Linked DNA regions of Oryctolagus cuniculus. The protein of the gene in region 4 interacts with the protein of the main gene of each other region in a pairwise test. Links are inferred from orthologs where the notes say so. Each region holds a gene or a part of one and is shown on either strand. Other genes may lie near its edges. The genes, in order: CRTC1, TSSK4, POGZ and CREB1.

Region 1 (4,665 bases), on a different chromosome or scaffold from region 4:
GCACACACTCACACGTGCCGGCCTCTGGCACTCACGGGACAGGTGCAGCTGCAGCCTGAGCCACACCTCACCTGTCTGCAGGTGCACAGGAACCCCTGGTGTCCAGCGTGGGGGGAGGCAGGAGCCACGGCCGCAGCCCCCAAGGCAGGGCAGCCTGCGCCCGGCGGTACGGGTGCACCTGCCACAGCCGGTGGGGGGAGGTGCTGGCCCTGGCCCTGGCACAGCCACGCAGGACACTGGAGCGACCCACGCAGGGCAGCGCTCCCACCTCCCCGCCCTCCTCGGACCCAAGGCTTCCCAGCGCCGGCCACGGCTGCCAGCCACGGCCGGGCCCTGTGCGAGGTCACGCGGCGCCGGGCGGTGTCCCTGACCTTCACTCGCAAGACGCCGGCAGGGGGCTGCGGGGGCCGCAGCTGCTTGGACGCTGCTGGGGAAGCCCGCCTCCCACATGGGAGGGCCCAGGTTCGAATCCCAGCGCTGCTCCCTGCTGATGCCCACCCTGGAGGCAGCAGGGGACCAGGGCTCGAGCGCTTGGGCCCCCGCCACCCACGCGGGAGACCTGCTCCGAGCTCCTGGCTCCCGGCTTCCACCTGGGAAGGGAAGCAACAGACGGGAGTGCTCGGTCTCTCTCTCCAACAAATAAATAAATAAACAGATGCTATGTTTTGGCATCCTCCGGTCAGACCGGATGGCCCAGAGTCCTCTGGGGGCAGTCACCGCCCAGGGGATAACCCTCTGGGCCTAAAGATTCACCTTCTGTTGGTTCCGCCCATGGCCACGATCAGGTTACAGGAAGGCTACGGGGCGAGGGGAGGGGGCCCAGGGCCAGACGTGGCCATCGGCGGAGTACTACTCAGCCAGGACAAGGGCTGAGGCCCGGCACCTGCTACGGCGCGGAGGGACCCGGAGAACCTGACGCCGACTGAGACCGCGTACAGGGGCCGCGCTGTGCCGCAGCGGCTTCCGGGGACGCAGGTTCGAGTCCCGGCCGCTCCACTTCCAGTCCCGCTCCCTGCTGTGGCCTGGGAAAGCAGCAGCGATGGCCGAGCCCTGGGGCCCCTGCACCTGCGTGGGAGACCCGGATGGAGCTCCTGGCTTCAGCCTGGTCCAGCCCCGGCCGCTGCGGCCGTTTGGGGAGTGACCCAGCAGATGGAGGACCGGCCATTTGGGGAGTGACCCAGCGGATGGAGGACCTCTCCCTCTCCCTCTCCCTCTCCCTCTATCTCTCTCTCTCAACTCTGCCTTTCATGTAAAGAAATCAAAAACAAAGACACAGAACTGTACCCTTTAAATAAACAGACAACGTAAGTGAACGAGATCTTAATGAAGTTGCTATTTTATTTTTTTAATCTTATTTGACAGGCAGAGAGAGAGAGAGGGAGAGAGAGGGAGGGAGGTGGCCCATCTGCGGGTTCACTCCCCAAGTGCCTGCAGCAGCTGGGGCCGGGCCGGGCCGGGCCGGCCGAAGCCAGGAGCCCGGAGCTCCACCTGGGTCCCCCGTGTGGGCGGCAGGGGCTCGGGTCCTGGAGCCGTCACCGCAGCCTCCCAGGAAGCCGGGGCGGCAGAGCTGGGGCCCCAAAGCCGGGCATCGGACACGGGACGCAGCCGCCCGGGCTCAGCCCCTCACAGAGACCTCCTTCCACGACCACCCAGGCCCAGCCCACGCAGGGACCGGACCACGAACCGCGCGTGGCCCCTCGCTCGCTTCCGGTCAGGCTGCCAACACCCGACACTGCCTGTCGGCCAGCCAGGGGGCGCACAGGTCCCGCCGGGAGCCCCGGCCCGGGGCACACGTTCCTTCATTCATTCATTCATTCGGTCACTCATTCATTCATTCGCCAGCAGCCTCTTGGTCGGCAGCAGCCGTGGCCGCCGGGAACATGCGCACCCTAACCCTGAGGTCGCAGCCCCGGCTCGGACCCGCGACCATTCACAAAACGCCGGGACCCGGGGTCCGTCGGGACCGGGGTGGGGGCGTGGGGTCAGTCGGGAGGTCAGGCCTGGGGTCACGCCCCGGCGGGAGGGGCGGGGTGCCTGCAGCTCCCACCCACACCTGCGTCCCCCCAGGCCCCGCGGAGATCCCCCACCTCGGGTCGCCTCCCTGCCCCGGGAGCCAGGTCTTGCTCCATACGCCGGACAGCGAAAGAAGCGGAGACCCCAGGCCCCTGGCCGGAGCAGGGCCACAGGGGACAGCTGGGCCCCCAGCCCCAGCAGCCAGCTCACGGGACACACCCGAGCACCCCTGGGCCGCCCGCCCGATCCCCGCGTGTGGCCAGCGGTCCCCCGCCCACCGGGAGGCCCAGCCCCAGGACCCGGCCCCTCGGGCCCCCGACCCCAGGCGGCCCCACGGAGGTCTGCCAGCAGGGACACCTGCTCCTGCCCCCAGCACCCAGGGAGGCGGCGCCGCGGGAGCGCTCGGCTGCAGCCAGGTACCGGGCGGGATGCAGCACCTGGCTGGCGCCGGCCCCCCGCGCCGGTCCCAGCGACGCCCCGGCACCTGCTCCCTGCCGGCAGCGGCCCCCTCGCCCCCCGGGCGGCGACGGTGCGGGGGCACCCGTGCCCTCACGGGGGCGGCGAGGCGCGCACACCTGGCCTGTCCAGGTGGCGAGGGGGCGGGGACACCTGTGCCCCTCAGCTACGGAGGATGTGGGGGCCCCCGTCCCGCCCACGGCGCCCGGAGCCTGGGGGACACCTGGCCCTCCACCCCGGGCCGGCGGCCCCGCCCCCGCGCGCGCCCCCGCCGCGTGCACGCGCCCCTCCCTCCCTCGGCCCGCGGGGTCGGTGCCCGGCAGCCCCCCTCACCCGCGCGGCCCGCGTCAGGCTCAGGTCTTTCATGACCTCCTCGAAGGCCGCCGTCTCCTCTGCCTGCTTCTGGTTGTGCAGCGCGATCTTCTCGCTGAATTTCCGCGGATTGTTCGAAGTCGCCATCTTCTCGCCGCCGCCGCCGCCGCCGCCGCCGCCGCCACCGCCGCCTCCTCCTCCTCCTCCTCCTCCTCCGCCTCCTCGCCCCCCCACCCGCCGGCACCACCGCGCAGGCGCCGCTCGGGCCCGCGGGCGGCGCGCAGGACGCAGGCGCGGCCGCGGTCGGGAGCGCGGCGCAGGCGCAGCGCAGCCGGCGCGAGGCGCGGGGGCGAAGGCGCATGCGCGCGCCCGGGAGGCGCGCTCGGAGCGCCAGGAGGGCAGGGGCGCGCGAGTGGGAGCCTCCGCGCAGGCGCAGTGAGTCCCCCGCCGGGCCCGCTACCTAGCGGATGCCTGGTGATGGTGCGGGTCCAAGGTGTTGGCCTGCCGTGCATGCGTTGAGCACCTGCTGTATACCAAGGACAGCTGGGCAGAGGCGGGAACAGTGGCTCCAGTGCTGGGGTCCCCGGGAGCCCGGGTCGGAGCGCCTGGCTCCTGGCGCGTGGCTCCAGGCTGGCCCAGCCCTGGCTGCTGTGGCCTTTTCCCAGGCCCCTGAAGGTGGGGTGTGGGTGTCCCAGTGCCTGGAAGCTTCTGGAGGTCAGGCGTGGGGCCGGCTGGTTCTCACCTCCGACCCCGAGGGGTCACGGAGGAATAGGGGGCAGCAGGTGCTCCCGGCGAGGCCCGCCCCAGAGCCAGGGGAGCCCCGCCCCCGGCCTCAATGGGGTGCAGTGGGCGGAGCTCGGCGCCTCCCCGCCCCACACCGGGATCTGTGGACCCGGCAAATGCCCGGCCCTCCCACTCGCTCGCTTACACCTGCCCAGAGCCAGCTTCCGGACACGGGGAGATGGGGTGCAGGGGGTTTGGGGGCCCCCAGATGCCCGCAGGGCGCCCGCGGCCGGCCTGAAACTGGACCCGCCCCCAACCCTGGCCGTGGGTCAGAGGAAGCCGCCGGCCTGGTGTCGGCCGCGGGGCTGGACAGGGGGCAGCCGCCCCGGGCTTGGGGCAGGGGGAGGCCACGGCCTCGGGGGTCCCGGGCAGCGCCCGGCCCTGTGCCTCCCGGCCTCCTCTCCCTGAATGGAAGCCACGCGTGCTCTTCGTGGTCCTGGGCCAATCTCAGGCTCACATCGAACTTAGGGGACAGGTCCCCCCTCCCCAGGGGCCCGCGGACCCCTGCCCTCAGCAGCCGGCATTCCAGTCTTCCAGAAGTTTCCACGCCCACATCTTTGCCTGGGTCGCTCTCCTCCACCGTCTCATCTTTTAAATTTATTTATTTATTTATTTATTTCAAAGGCAGAGTTACAGAGAGACAGAGAGAGAGAGAGAGAGAGAGAGAGGTCCTCCATCCGCTGGTTCACTCCCCAGATGGCCACAATGGCCAGAGCTGTGCTGATCCGGAGCCAGGAGCTTCTTCCAGGTCTCCCACGCAGGTGCAGGGGCCCAAGGACTTAGGCCATCCTCCACTGCTTTCCCAGGCCATAGCAGAGAGCTGGACTGGAAGCGGAGCAGCCGAGACTCGAACTGGCACCCCTATGGGATGCCGGCACTGCAGGCAGCCACTATACCAGCTACGCCGCAGCGTCGGTCCAGCAGCGCCCCGCGGCAGGGCCTCCCACTGCTGCTGGGGTCCCGGCTGCGTGAACTCAGCGCACGCGCTCACCCCCCACTCACAGCAGGGCAGCACGGTGGGAGCTGTGTGCCCTCACTCACGACCGTTATCCTTTGAAGTCTCTGAGCACCTGGGGGCTCCTCTGCCACTCCAGGCCCCAG
Region 2 (4,559 bases), on a different chromosome or scaffold from region 4:
CACGTAGCTTACCTTTATCCAAATCCGTAGTTAGTATCTTTCACTGCTACAAGGCTTCGTTTGAACTGTCACTTCTGTGTCCTGGGGCTAATAGTGTACGGAACTCTGACTCCCTGGCATTGATTCAATTAGAAGTTAAAGTGACACAGGAGAGAGAAGGGACCAGGGTACTTCATATAACCTGTGAGCCCTGCCTAAAAGAACAGGGTCGGGGACAGGCATTGTGGCACAGCAGATTGGCACACTTGGCACACTCACGTCCCACATCGGAGTGCCTGGTTCAAGTCTCAGCTACTCCATCCCTCTGATCCAGGTTCCTGCACGTGGTGACGCTAATACCTGGGCTCCTACCACCTATGTGGAAGGCCTAAATAGAGCTCCTAGCTCCTGGCTTAGGCCTGGCCAAGCCCCGGGTGTAGCAACCATCAGGGAAGTGACCCAGAAGATTGAGATCTGTCTCTTTGTCACTGTGTCACTCTGCCTTTCAAATAAGTAAATCTTTAACAAAACAAAAAATAAAAGCCCATCACTTTGGACTGCAGACAAGCAGAGCCTCAGGTGGAGCGAGCAGGGCTTTCCCCCACTGCATGGATGTTCAGAGAGCACAAAGACGTAGTCAGAAAAAGAAAGCTTCCCCAGAGTGTTCATCTGAGCGCCCCACCCCACGAGCCGCAGGTGGAATCACACTGATTTACACAGGTGTCAAGGTGGACTGGTGACAGGCTCCGGACAGAAATCCACCTTGTACCCACAGCAGTATTCCCCACTAAGGTTCCCTTGAGCAAAGAATATCTTTGAACATAGCTGATGAAACTAAATCAGATTTATTTACGGTATAAAAGATTTTTAGCCCTGGACCCTCCTGCTTTGCCCCTCTCTCAGTCCCTCCCTTCTTTCCTTCCCTCCCCTCCCAGCAACCATTTTCAGGTTGTGTTGCCCAAGGATTGCTGCCGATTGCTGGTGCTGCTGGTGGTGGGCTGGCACATGGCCTCTAGCAGCCTGATCTCATTGGTGGGTTGCTCAGGCTGGAACTTGAGCACCCAGGGATCCTTGAGGATGTCCAGGATGGTGGCACGCTTGGCCGCTTGGCATAGCATATGAAGGACTAGGTTCTAGGGCAGGAGAAAGAAAGGTCCTGGCTAAGCTTACCCTGCACTGTGCCACACAGTAAGCAGCTGGACCCAAAGAGAATACAAGGTAGCGCCTATGCTACTTTAGTGAAAGGGGTGTGGCCCTGGTTTTATCCTGGTAAGCCAAGTATTCAGCTCCCTGGAAAGGGGAGGGAGGAATTCTTGGGGAAATCCTTTGCACAAGCCCCTCCTAGCCTAAAGGGATAGTAGTGGGAATCTGCTTAAGGATGGGGCCCCGTGAATGGCCCTATAAGCCCTCCCCAGGGACAAGAGTATGGGCTGGCTCGCCCAGGGCTGGGTGGCCTAGCTTGGGAATTCGCCCCTCCCCATGGGTCATCTCTAAGGCTTCAGCTCTCCTGGGGGAGCCAGCACCTTGCACTCCTGGGAGATGGCGTTGTTCTGCGGGAAAGAGACCTCCTTCTGAGTCTCCTTGAGCAGCTTCTTGAGGTTGGTGTCATCGAAGGGCAGACGGGCGACCACCAGAGTATAGAGGATGACTCCCATGCTCCAGGTGTCCGACAGGAAAGGGTTGTAGGGCAAGCCTAGCAAGATCTCGGGGCAGGCGTATGCAAAGCTGCCACAGTAGGTCTGGCTGAGGTGGGAAAAGCAGTTCATTTGGCGGTAAGAAGAGCTACTACGCGCAGGCTGGTTAGGAGGCACCATCTTGGCGAAGCCAAAGTCCGATATCTTCACATTCTCTCGCTTGTCCAACAACAAGTTCTCCAACTTTAAGTCCCTACCAGCAGCAGAAAGGCTGGGGGTCAGGCTGGGGAGAGGGCTTTGTATTAGACCGGGAGCTGAAGGATGGAGGCTAAGGTTGAGGATGGGCCAGGTGGGAGGGAGACGCCATTATGAGACCAGTGTCAGGAGGAGAGAGCCAAGGTGTTATGAGGTCCTTGAGGACCACTGGGGTCTCACTACTGCATTTCATAAAGGGGTCTGCACACACTGGGCACTTTATGTAAGTGTCCTTGACCAGAGGATTGAAATAGAGTGGATGCATGGACCTGGATAATGAGGAAAGTGCAAAGGAGGAAAAGGCAGAAAGCAGAAGCTGTACAGGAAAGCCCCCTGAGCGCCTGAAGGCCCCCGTCCGAGTGGCAGCGCCCTCACCGGTGCACGATGCCCTTGCTGTGCAGGTAGGCGATGCCCAGGGCCATCTGGGAGAACCACTTGCCAGCAAGGGGCTCAGAGCAGGCCCCATAGCGCTGGATCCACTCGAGGACGTCTCCACCTTGCGCCAGCTCCAGGATGATGTACACGCGGGACGTGGTCTCGATGGCCTGATAGAAGTTGATGAGGTACTTGTGCCGCAAGACTTTCATTACCTGCCCCCAGAAGAGGCACCCATCAAACCCGAGAAGGGTGGGCCCTGGCTGCACTCCCAGCCCACTGCTACTGGACCTCTGCAGCACAGGGCTGCTGCCTGGAGGTAGACCTTGTTTTGCACTCTGGGGAGAGCTGGAGGTGAGTGGGTAGGCAAGAGCGGTTGAGTTGACATTAATTTTCCTAGCTGCTGAGTCAGATGCCCAGTCCCAGTTTGGGGGGAGGGGGTGGCCCCACCACTTCCTAACCACATCCCCTCTGAAAAACCTCATGCAGCTTAGTAAACTGCCACTCCCTCTCCCAGCACTCTCCAACCTGTATCTCACGGGGCAGGAACTTGTTTAGATAATCCTCGGAGGCCTTCTTCTTTGAGATGATCTTGACGGCCACCATGACCTTCTGCTTTGTGTAATAAGCCTCGTACACTGTCCCGTAGGAGCCATTGCCAATGACCTTGCCCACCTCATAGCCATACTCCTCCATGACAGATCGGTAAGCCGGAGTGGCTGGTGCTGCCGCCGCCTCCACCGCATCTCCCTTCCCCATACTGCCGGGCTTGCTGAGAGCAAGGAGCTTGGCTACCTGGAAGCCTCCTGTCTACTCCAAGGCCAGCACCTCTAGCCACTGAAGGCCGGGGTACCAAAGTGAAGCTGGTCTCTGGATGCTTGCCTATGGAGTCACATTAAGTCTGGGATGCTGGGCCCAGCCCTCTGCTAGCAACTTGAAGGGGGATAGGAGGAGCAGTTCTTTCGGTCTCCACTGGCTGTTGGTACTTCTTCCTCCTTGGTTACGGAACTTACCAAGGTTTCATGTTCCATCCACATCACAATCCACCTTCTGTCACTGGCCACGAAGCTTGAAAATGCAGTGTGGTTTGGAACAGATTCGTTCCCAGAGACATGCTCTGCAATCTGGTGAGACTCTCCCCCCAGCTGTCCAGTGCACGGAGCACCTCCTTTCTGCCAGTGTGCAGTACTAGGATAAAATGACCAGTCAGGCCAGTAGAGACCTCATGCCCCTTGCACTTACAGTGAGCATGAGAGAAGCACAGGGGCATTACAGAGAAGTTCAAGGTGTTGAAGCCTGCTATAGGGATCTAACCTTGACAGGCATTCTCCATAACCCTGACCTCTAGTTTAATATCCTCCCATGCCTCTGGTCATCCTCAGCCTCCTTGGGAGCCTCATCAGTCTCCTTTTATCTCAATCTTATCCTAAAGGTTCTATCAGACCTTCACATTTTTTCGTTAAGACCTTATCCTTATCACTCCCAGAGCCTCAATGTGCTTGCTGCTCCTGATCTCATCTCTGTCCCAGCCATCACTGGAGTTCCAGATACAGCCTAATTGCTCATTGGACGTCACGTGGACAGGTCTCTCCTAGGCACCTCAAACTCACCGTAAATTGTACACTAGTTATTCGCAGACACCTAAATGTCATCTCAGACCCTTCCTCTTGCCTTAGTCCCTACACATAATTTATCACCAAATCATGTCTCTTCTACTTCTTAATATCTCTTAAATAAGACACTTGGCTCTCTAAGCTCAATGCCACTCCCTCAATTCAGGTCTCTCTCTTTTTTTTTTTTTTTAATTTTATTTATTCGAGAGGTAGCATTACAGAGAGAGGGAGAGAGAGAAAGGTCTTCCATTCACTGGTTCGCTCTCCAAATGGCCACAACGGCAGGAGCTTCTTCCAGGTCTCCTATGTGGGTGCAAGGGCCCAAGCACTTGGGCCATCTTCCACTGCTTTCCTGGGCCATAGCAGAGAGCTGGATCGGAAGAGGAGCAGCCAGGACTAGAACTGGTGCCCATGTGAGATGCTGGTACTGCAGGTCATGGCTAACCCACTGCACCACAGCACTGGCCCAATCGCAGCTGTTTTTAAGGAAGGCTGTACTGCCTGTCCACACCTAAGGTGCTCCTCCCTTCTAGGTGCTTCCCAACACTAACACTTTGTCGGACACAGCACTTGACCAAACATCAGTTGAGGTGCTTTTTGTTTTTGCTTGCATCTCCCATTGGACTCTCAAGGGAGGTTCAGTGACTAGAAGAGAGGTGAAATCAGAAGTTTGAAAAGAATGGGTTGTGGAGAATGGAAAAGA
Region 3 (4,490 bases), on a different chromosome or scaffold from region 4:
TCTATAAATCTTTTTTTGTATAGCTTAATAGAAGATCATTGGGGGCCAGCGCCGTGGCTCAAAAGGCTAATCCTCCGCCTGTGGCGCCGGCACACTGGGTTCTAGTCCCCGTTGGGGTGCCGGATTCTGTCCTGGTTGCCCCTCTTCCAGGCCAGCTCTCTGCTGTGGCTCGGGAGTGCAGTGGAGGATGGCCCAAGTGCTTGGGCCCTGCACCCCATGGGAGACCAGGAGAAGCACCTGGCTCCTGCCTTCGGATCAGCGCAGTGCGCCGGCAGCGGCAGCCATTGGAGGGTGAACCAACGGCAAAGGAAGACCTTTCTCTCTGTCCCCTCTGCCTGTGGAAAAAAAAAAAAAAAATCATTGGGGGTGGGTATAGTTAGGATGCTAGTTAGGATGCCCAAGTCCCATTCCAGAGTTCCTGGGTTCAATACTGAGCTCCAGATCCTGATTCCCACTTCCTGCTGGTGTGGACCCAGGGAGGCAGTGGTGATGGCTCACATTAACTGGGTTTCTGTAACCCACATGGAAAACCTGGACTGAGTTCCCAGCTCTCAGTTTTGGCCCAAGTCTTGGCTGTTGTGGGCATCTGGGGAATAAAATAACTTTTTATGGCAGCTCCATTTTTCTCTCTGCCTCTCAAATAAATAAATAAATGACAGATGGATTCTCACGGCTGCTTCTGCATCTGGTCTGCCGCAAGATGTTTTGGTTAAGTACAGAACAAAACTCTGGACTTGTACAGGATATCTAGTGGAAAAGGGGAGATGAATTATATTCTTTCAGATTTATTCATTTATTTGAAAGCCAGAGTTACAGAAGAAAAGGGAGAGACAGAGAGATCTTCCCCAGCTGGTCCACTCCCCGAATGGCCACAACAGCCAGGGCTGGGCCAGGCTAAAGCCAGGAACTTCCTCCAGGTCTCCCATGCGGGTGTGGGACTCAAGCACTTGGGCCATCTTCCACTGCCCTCAAAGCAGAGCAGCCAACAGATTAACTGGTGCCCATATGGGATGCCATTGTCACAGGCAGCAGTCTAACCAGCTATGCCACAACACTGGCCCCAGGGAGTATTTTAATAACCTTTTCAGATGACTAAACAATAACACTATTTATAAACACTAGAACTGAACAAATGATAGTTTCTCAAAGGATATCTGCATCTTAGAATCTGAAACCCTATTGGTGAAATTTTCATACATTGCTACATTAAAATCCACGGCTATAGGGATAGGTGTTTCGTGCTGCAGTTAAGCCGCCTCTTGCTTAGGACACCTGCATTCCATATCAAGAGTGCCTAGGTTTGAGTCCCTGGCTCCACTTCCAATTCCATCTTCCTGCTAATATGCACCATGGAAAGTACTAGGTGACGGTTCAAATAGTTAGGTCCCTGCCACCAACATGGGACCCATCCCGGGCTGTTGCAGGTAGTTAGGGAGTGAACCAGTGGATGGAAGTTGTCTGTTTCAAAAAATAAAATATACATACATATTTATTCATTGCCATATTTCATATTTTGAATTACTCTTGTAATTCTGCAGCATCATACACTGGTCATTTGGAAAATATGTACAAAAAATGTGCATTTACTGAGTTAAGCCATCTTCCAAATGACACATTTCATTATGTAATATTTTTTAAAAATCACAATTGTTAATCACTAATAATGTAAGCAAAGTCTTTCAGGTACTGGGATGCAGTCAACTTTTGAAAAATTCTATCTTCCATTCAAATTTATCACTGGTAACAAATATGGTCAATTGCTTTCATATAAATGATAAGCTTACTTCATTCACTTTCAAGAAGTATCTTCAAATACTCAATGTGAAAAACAGTAGTTTGTCAGTCGTTATTTCAAGTAAAAATGCCATTCCAGGAAATAAACAGCTCACAAAACAACATCACAAATGCTTTTCCTTTTGACAACAATCATACTTCGGTAGGCAGCATAAATGCTTTATGAAAACTGATCATTTCAGGGCCTACGCTGTGGTGCAGCAGGTTAACGCCCTGGCCTGAAGCGCCAGCATCCCATATGGGCGCCAGTTCTAGTCCTGGCTGCTCCTCTTCCAATCCAGCTCTCTGCTATGGCCTGGGAAAGCAGCAGAAGATGGCCCAAGACCTTGGGCCCCTGCACCCAAGTGAGAGACCCAGAAGAAGCTCCTGGCTCCGGATCGGCACAGCTCCGGCAGTTGCGGCCATCTGGGGAGTGAACCATCAAATGGAAGACCTCTCTCTCTCTCCTCTGTGTAACTCTGACTTTCAAATAAATACATAAATCTTAAAACAAAGAAAGAAAGAAAGCAAGCTGATAATGTCATCAGAGATTCTCAAAAAAAATTTAACAGGTGTACTCAGAAGCTGAGATTTGTAGTAATACTTGAAAACATCTCAACAGTGAGGTGAGTGCTGTGGCGAATGGTTAAGCCACTGCTTGGGACACCTCCATCCCGTATCAGAGTGCCTGATACTCCACTTCTGACCCAGCTTCCTGTCAACGCACCTGGGAAGCAGCAGCTAATGGCCCAGGTACTTGAGTTCCTGTTACCCATGTGGAAAACCCTGAACAAAGTTTCTGGCTCCTGGCCCATTCCCAGCTGATGTTGTGGCCATTTGAGAAGTAGAAACAGTGGATGGAAGATACCTCTATCTTCCCGCCTGACAATCCTACCTTTCAAATAAATTAAAAAGAAAAAAAAAAAAAAAAAAAAAGGAAAAGAAAAACTTAGTAACATCAACAGACCATCTTCCAAGTCTCAAAAACAGCTCAGAGTTAATCAGTTACTGGTTCATCAAGGACCATCTGTACAGCAGCCTGGTACCATCGCCTTACTCGATGGTAAGACACCAACAATAGTTTTACCTAGCATTGCTTTTGGGCTATCAGTGCGAACATCAGAAAAAAATCTTAGATTTTGAAAAGTTATGACCTCAAGACTCCCCAGCGAAGCTCGGAGGGGGTATCCCCAGAGGATCGCACTTTGAGAACCTCTTTCCTAGACCGCACCACTAGTTCCAGATGAGTGAAAAACTCACAAAATCCTGCTCATCGCCAGGAGTTCCTTCTACTCTTTTAGTTGGGAGCTACACCATCAACACACTTCAGGAAGAGCGCAGACTAGCATTCACCCGTTTTCACGACTGTCTTCAGCATCTTGACATCAGACCAGTAACCCTCAACGGGGACTGCCTTTAAGACCTAGAAACAGCAAACTCTGCCTACCCTACCCACAGGAATTCCAGGGAGGAGGCCCCCAACACCGCACTTTCCTGGTCTCCGAGGCACCTTTCACGCACCCCGAGGTGAAGCAGCTTGGAATTCAGAATCCAGGCTCCCAGTCCCAGAGCAACCCGTCTCGCTGTTGTTCGTCAAGCAGCAGCCCCCCCACGCCCAGCCCTCCCGGGTCCCCCCATCTAGTCGGGAAAATCCCTTTCCAACTGTGGAGTTCCGCGCTGTGGAGGGAAGTGTCTCAGAGAGCGTGGTGACCCGGCTACCGCCCGCACGGTTCAGAGACAGCAACTGGTACAACTGCATCTTAATTTCCATCTCGAGTAAAACGAGACTGGGCCCAACGACTTACAAGATTCTTCAGCTCTGACAAGTGAGCCGAGGAATGCCCAGTGTTATCTCACTAACAGTGTGCGGGGAATCCCACATCTGCCGCGGGAGGAAATCAGGACAAGACGCAGAAAGGAGGAAAAGCAGGTGGATCGATGACAGGACTCCTTTCCAGTAGTAGGTGCAGAGGGCTAGAGAAAGTAGTCCCCGGGATAAACATGGCGCCCACCGCGGCAGGACATCATCATCATCATCCCCAGAAAAGAGAGCTTCTCCGCCCCATCCCATTTTATAAATCACGGCGCGGTCCCCCCACTGCAGCCTGGGGCCAGGCGAGCAGACTTCGCGGAGCAGCCGCCGCGCACCAGAGCGAGCGGGGGTTACATAACACAAGGGATCGCCCAAGCAATCCTTCTCCTCCTCCCGCTCCAAACGGGCGCCCCGCTCCTTCCCCGGGCGGGGGCGGGGCGGCGCGGGCACCCCCGGCAGACGCTGCCCCGCCGCGGCCTCGCCCCCTCGCCCCCGCCCCTCCCCAGCGGGCCGCCAGCGCCGGCGCCCGCGCCGCCCACTCCTCCGAGACGCCCCGCGCCGGGCGTGCGTGTGGACGTCGGGTGTGTGCGGGGCCGTGGGGCGCGAGTGCGCGCGCGCGCCGCGGCCGGCGCCGGGGGGCGGGGGCGGCAGGCAGGCAGGCAGGGGCCCCCTCCGCCGCCGCCGGCCCGCCGCGCAGCTCCCGCGGCCAGGGCGCTCCCACCGCACACACGCGCTCGCGCGCCGCGCCCCACGGCCGCCACTGCCGCGCGCGACCGCCGCCACTCGCGGAGGGCGCGGGCGCGCGCCCCCGGTCCCCGCCCCCACCCCGTGCGCGCGCGCCCGCCCGCCCCATCCCCCCTCTCATTGTCTGGCGCCGAACGCCTCGCCGAGCGAAAAGATAACG
Region 4 (3,912 bases):
AAAAAGGACTGGCCATCATAGTTACTTTATTACAAATTAATATAAATACAATTTAAATTTAATATTTAACATTAATACACATTTATGAAGCTTGATCTTGATTACTATTCATGAAAAAAAATTTTTTTTTTGATCAGGCATTTAGTTTAGCAATTAAGACTTAGAGTATATGGGCTGGATTCTTGATTCTCGCTTCTGACTTCAGCTTCCTGCCAATGCAGATCCTGGGAAGCAGCAGTGAAGGCTCAAGTAATTGGGTTCCTGCCACCTACCCTGGGAGACCTGGCTTGCATTCCTGGACCCTCTCTTCAACCTCTACCCAACTAGCCCTAGCTGTAGTGGGCATTTGGGAGCCTCTTTCTGTCATTCTGCCCCTCAAATAAATATATTTTAAAACCTCCCAGGGGCCGGCACCGTGGCTCACTTGGTTAATCCTCCGCCTGCAGCGTCGGCATCCCATATGGGCACCGGGTTCTAGTCCTGGTTGCTCCTCATCCTGTCCAGCTCTCTGCTGTGGCCTGGGAGGACAGTGGAGGATGGCCCAGGTGCTTGGTCCCCTGCACCCGCGTGGGAGACCAGGAAGAGGCACCTGGCTCCTGGCTTCGGATTGGCACAGTGCCGGCCGTGACAGCCATTTGGGGAGTGAACCAACAGAAGGAAGACCTTTCTCTCTCTCTGTCTATAAGTCTGTTAACTCTATAAATTTTTTTTTTTTTAAATAACTTAGGTAGTTGGTTGGAGCCAAGTACAAATATAGCAACATTGTGCATTAAATATTCTGTGGGGAAATTATATGAAATTATTCTATGATTAAAGACTGATCTACAATCTCATAAATTAATTATTAAATACAGATTTTTAGCAAGATCTATTAATCCTACCAGGAAAAAAAATCAATGTAAAGATCTATTTTCAGCAGAACTTGAAGAGGGATTTGCCCACAGCAATCTAAGTAAATAAAATATATATACCTGTTCTTCATTAGACGAACCTCTCTCTTCCGTGCTGCTTCTTCTGCAGGCTGTGTAGGAAGTGCTGGGGAGGAAGCCATAACAACTCCAGGGGCAATGGTGCTAGTGGGTGCTGTGCGGATCTGGTATGTTTGTACATCTCCAGAAGCAGCTGAAAAGAACAACAGTGAACAAGGTATAAGACACAGAAAAACAGTGTGTCAGTAACATGTGTGTGTCAATCACCAATCTAAGCATACTTTTTGGATTAAAAGGGAAATTAAATGGAACAGATGATTCAGGCTAAAATGTTCAAAGAAATCAGCACTCTTTGGGTCACTACTGAGAAACAATTCCCAATTTATTGTATTTATTAGTCTAGACACTTGAGTGAAAGGCGTCTTAATTGATGTCTGCTGGGTCTCACATTTATTTTTGACCAGAATGCACTTCTATTCTGTTAACAAGCTTACCAACCTTAAGTCTAATAGGGAAGTAGGGCACAGCTTGGATGATCTTCCTAGACACAGTATAGTTCTCAATGTCTTCCTTTGACTTTGGTAAATTCATATTAAAAAATTTCAAGCAGACTCTTGCCACGACATAAAAACGACCATGTTTTTTTTTTTTTTTTTTTTTTTTTTTTTTCATAAAATAGCAAAATGGAAGAGAAAATAAAGCATTATGGTCAACTATTGTAAATTTCTAATTAAAACAAACTGAAAGTATGAAGTGTAGCACTTGAGGTCAATTATATTATTGTAAACATAGTGTTTTAATGTAAATGATAATGGCTAAATAAACTGAAAGTTTATTTTTCTAACTAAGTGGTCCAATATTTGTGAAAGAAACATAGTAACTTATTTGCCAAACTGCTTCTAAGAAGTTTCATATGCTCTCCTAAGAAACCTAGCATCATTTAAGAGAATTCAAAGGTCTTGATAAAAGAATCCATATTAGTTATTAATATCAATTAAAATGTGTAGTTTGAGTGGAAAAGATTTATATACTAAACATGTTACCATCTTCAAACTGACGTTCAGAATTCAAATTCACTGACATCTGCTTTACAATTTTTGAGTACCTGCATGTAAAGTGAAAAGGGGTTTTATTCCCATCAATAAGCAAAATATTATCTTTTTCAAATACTATTCGTTCAGTAACAGAACATATTCTGTGAATACATTAGGACCCTAACTTGTGTTTTAAAAATTTTCAAGAACTATCATCCATGGTAAAGGGATACAACTGCCAGTACCTGACACATGGAAAATGCATTATTAATGCAAATATTTTCAGAAGCAATTTATTATTTTCTCAACATGTAAATGTATCATTGGGCATAAATTATATTCTTGAACTATTCAAATGAATGCAAAGAAAACTGGTTAATTCCTATCTATAGATTCCTGAAATAAAAAGAAAACAAAAAAGTTTTTAAAAATAGTAAAACATGAGGTAGGCATTGTGGCCCAGCAGGAAGAACAGTGCTTGGGACTCTGACATCCCGTATTGAAGTGCTGCTATTCTGCTTCCGATCATATTCCTGTTGAAGTATACTTGGAGGCAGCGGATGATGGCTGAAGTGGCAGAGCCTGCACTAACGATATGGAGATCCTGATGGAGCCTAGGTTCCTGGCTTCAGCCTGATGCAGTCCTGGCTATTGCACGCATTTAGGTAGTGAACCAGCAGATGGAAGTATCTATCTCTCTGCCTTTCAGATAGATGAAAATAAGACTTTAAAAAAGATTTAAATTTCTCTTGAATAAGTAACAAAATTCTGAACCTGCAAAGATTCTTATCAGTGATTTAGCAAAATACTCATTTGACACATGAAAAAAAAAAAAAAAATGAGAGCCAGAGAAGCTGGGTTTTGCTCAAGGTCTCATAGCAGATTCATGCAATTAGATCTAAAATGTCCTTCTTAACTTCTGATTTCACTGTCTTTCCTTCTATCCCACCTTGTTTTTCCTATGCCCTAATTCTAAAGATGTTAAAAGTAGATGTTTTATTTTTTTAAACCTGAAAATAGTTGTTTTTATGCCATGACATTTTGGTCCAATTGGAATAATGAAAAATACTGTCTCTAATGAAATTAACTACATTTTAACAAGGCTTTGCAATATGATACTTACTTTTTTATGAGGGTTTATGTAATTTTAATGGTTTACAGAATGTACTATACTTGTGAATTCCGAATTTCCTTACCTTGAACAACAACTTGGTTGCTGGGCACTAAGATCTGTTGTCCATCCGTGGTCTGTGCATACTGTAGAATGGTAGTACCCGGCTGAGTGGCAGCTGCATTGGTCATGGTTAATGTTTGCAGGCCCTGTACCCCATCGGTACCATTGTTAGCCAGTTGTATTGCTCCTCCCTGGGTAATGGCAACTAAAACCCAATGGATTTTACTGTTACAAGTTTAATTAATACCACATAAACTAAAACTAAATTCAGTGTAGGCTATTTTATGAGACATAATCTAGGAGAAATTATTACAGTAAATAATATCACTAAGAAGCATTTGGTATATTCAAGTTAACTTTCTGCTCAGAAACCTACATCCAGATTTTAGAATAGAAAGGCACTCTGAACCACATTGTAATTTTTAATAACAATGCTTAACAATTTTTTTAAGTAGGTCAGGGAAAATGTTATATTTCTTTTGAAGTTATCTGGTTCTGTGAAGTTCCACCTCACTTTCCTTTATCCCATCATTAATGACGTAAGTAAAAGTTTGTGAAAAATTAACATAATTCAATTTTTACCATAAACTTTTTGAAGACCCTCCCCTTATTTACTGCCCCACTTAAATAAATTTATCGAGGGTAAGAAATGGATTTTTTGGGGCCAGTGCTGTGGCATAGCAGGTAAGGCCGCCATCTGCGGTGCTGGAATCCCATATGGGTGCTGGTTTGTGTCCTGGCTGCTTCACTTCTGATCCAGCTCTCTGCTATGGCC

What was found.
Region 1: the proteins of CREB1 (region 4) and CRTC1 interact in binary tests that used the Homo sapiens proteins (3 or more experiments, as listed by UniProt). The link is inferred for Oryctolagus cuniculus from reciprocal best matches to the Homo sapiens genes CREB1 and CRTC1.
Region 2: the proteins of CREB1 (region 4) and TSSK4 interact in binary tests that used the Homo sapiens proteins (3 or more experiments, as listed by UniProt). The link is inferred for Oryctolagus cuniculus from reciprocal best matches to the Homo sapiens genes CREB1 and TSSK4.
Region 3: the proteins of CREB1 (region 4) and POGZ interact in a two-hybrid assay, tested with the Homo sapiens proteins (2 studies listed by BioGRID and IntAct). The link is inferred for Oryctolagus cuniculus from reciprocal best matches to the Homo sapiens genes CREB1 and POGZ.

What each region holds. Positions count from the first base shown.
Region 1 is NC_091447.1:65,767,816-65,772,480, reverse strand, and holds the start of CRTC1 (CREB-regulated transcription coactivator 1), read right to left. Parts: upstream 3,025-4,665; 5' UTR 2,929-3,024; coding exon 2,803-2,928; intron 1-2,802. UniProt on the Homo sapiens protein: Transcriptional coactivator for CREB1 which activates transcription through both consensus and variant cAMP response element (CRE) sites.
Region 2 is NC_091443.1:50,994,553-50,999,111, forward strand, and holds TSSK4 (testis-specific serine/threonine-protein kinase 4), read right to left. Parts: upstream 3,148-4,559; 5' UTR 3,003-3,147; coding exon 2,772-3,002; intron 2,459-2,771; coding exon 2,244-2,458; intron 1,897-2,243; coding exon 1,503-1,896; intron 1,113-1,502; coding exon 924-1,112; 3' UTR 806-923; downstream 1-805. UniProt on the Homo sapiens protein: Serine/threonine kinase which is involved in male germ cell development and in mature sperm function. May be involved in the Cre/Creb signaling pathway. Phosphorylates CREB1 on 'Ser-133' in vitro and can stimulate Cre/Creb pathway in cells.
Region 3 is NC_091438.1:46,627,756-46,632,245, reverse strand, and holds the start of POGZ (pogo transposable element with ZNF domain), read right to left. Parts: upstream 3,180-4,490; 5' UTR 3,048-3,179; coding exon 3,034-3,047; intron 2,665-3,033; exon of another isoform or gene 2,501-2,664; intron 1-2,500. UniProt on the Homo sapiens protein: Plays a role in mitotic cell cycle progression and is involved in kinetochore assembly and mitotic sister chromatid cohesion.
Region 4 is NC_091434.1:32,216,168-32,220,079, forward strand, and holds part of CREB1 (cyclic AMP-responsive element-binding protein 1), read right to left. Parts: intron 3,343-3,912; coding exon 3,160-3,342; intron 2,035-3,159; exon of another isoform or gene 2,013-2,034; coding exon of another isoform or gene 1,973-2,012; intron 1,123-1,972; coding exon 972-1,122; intron 1-971.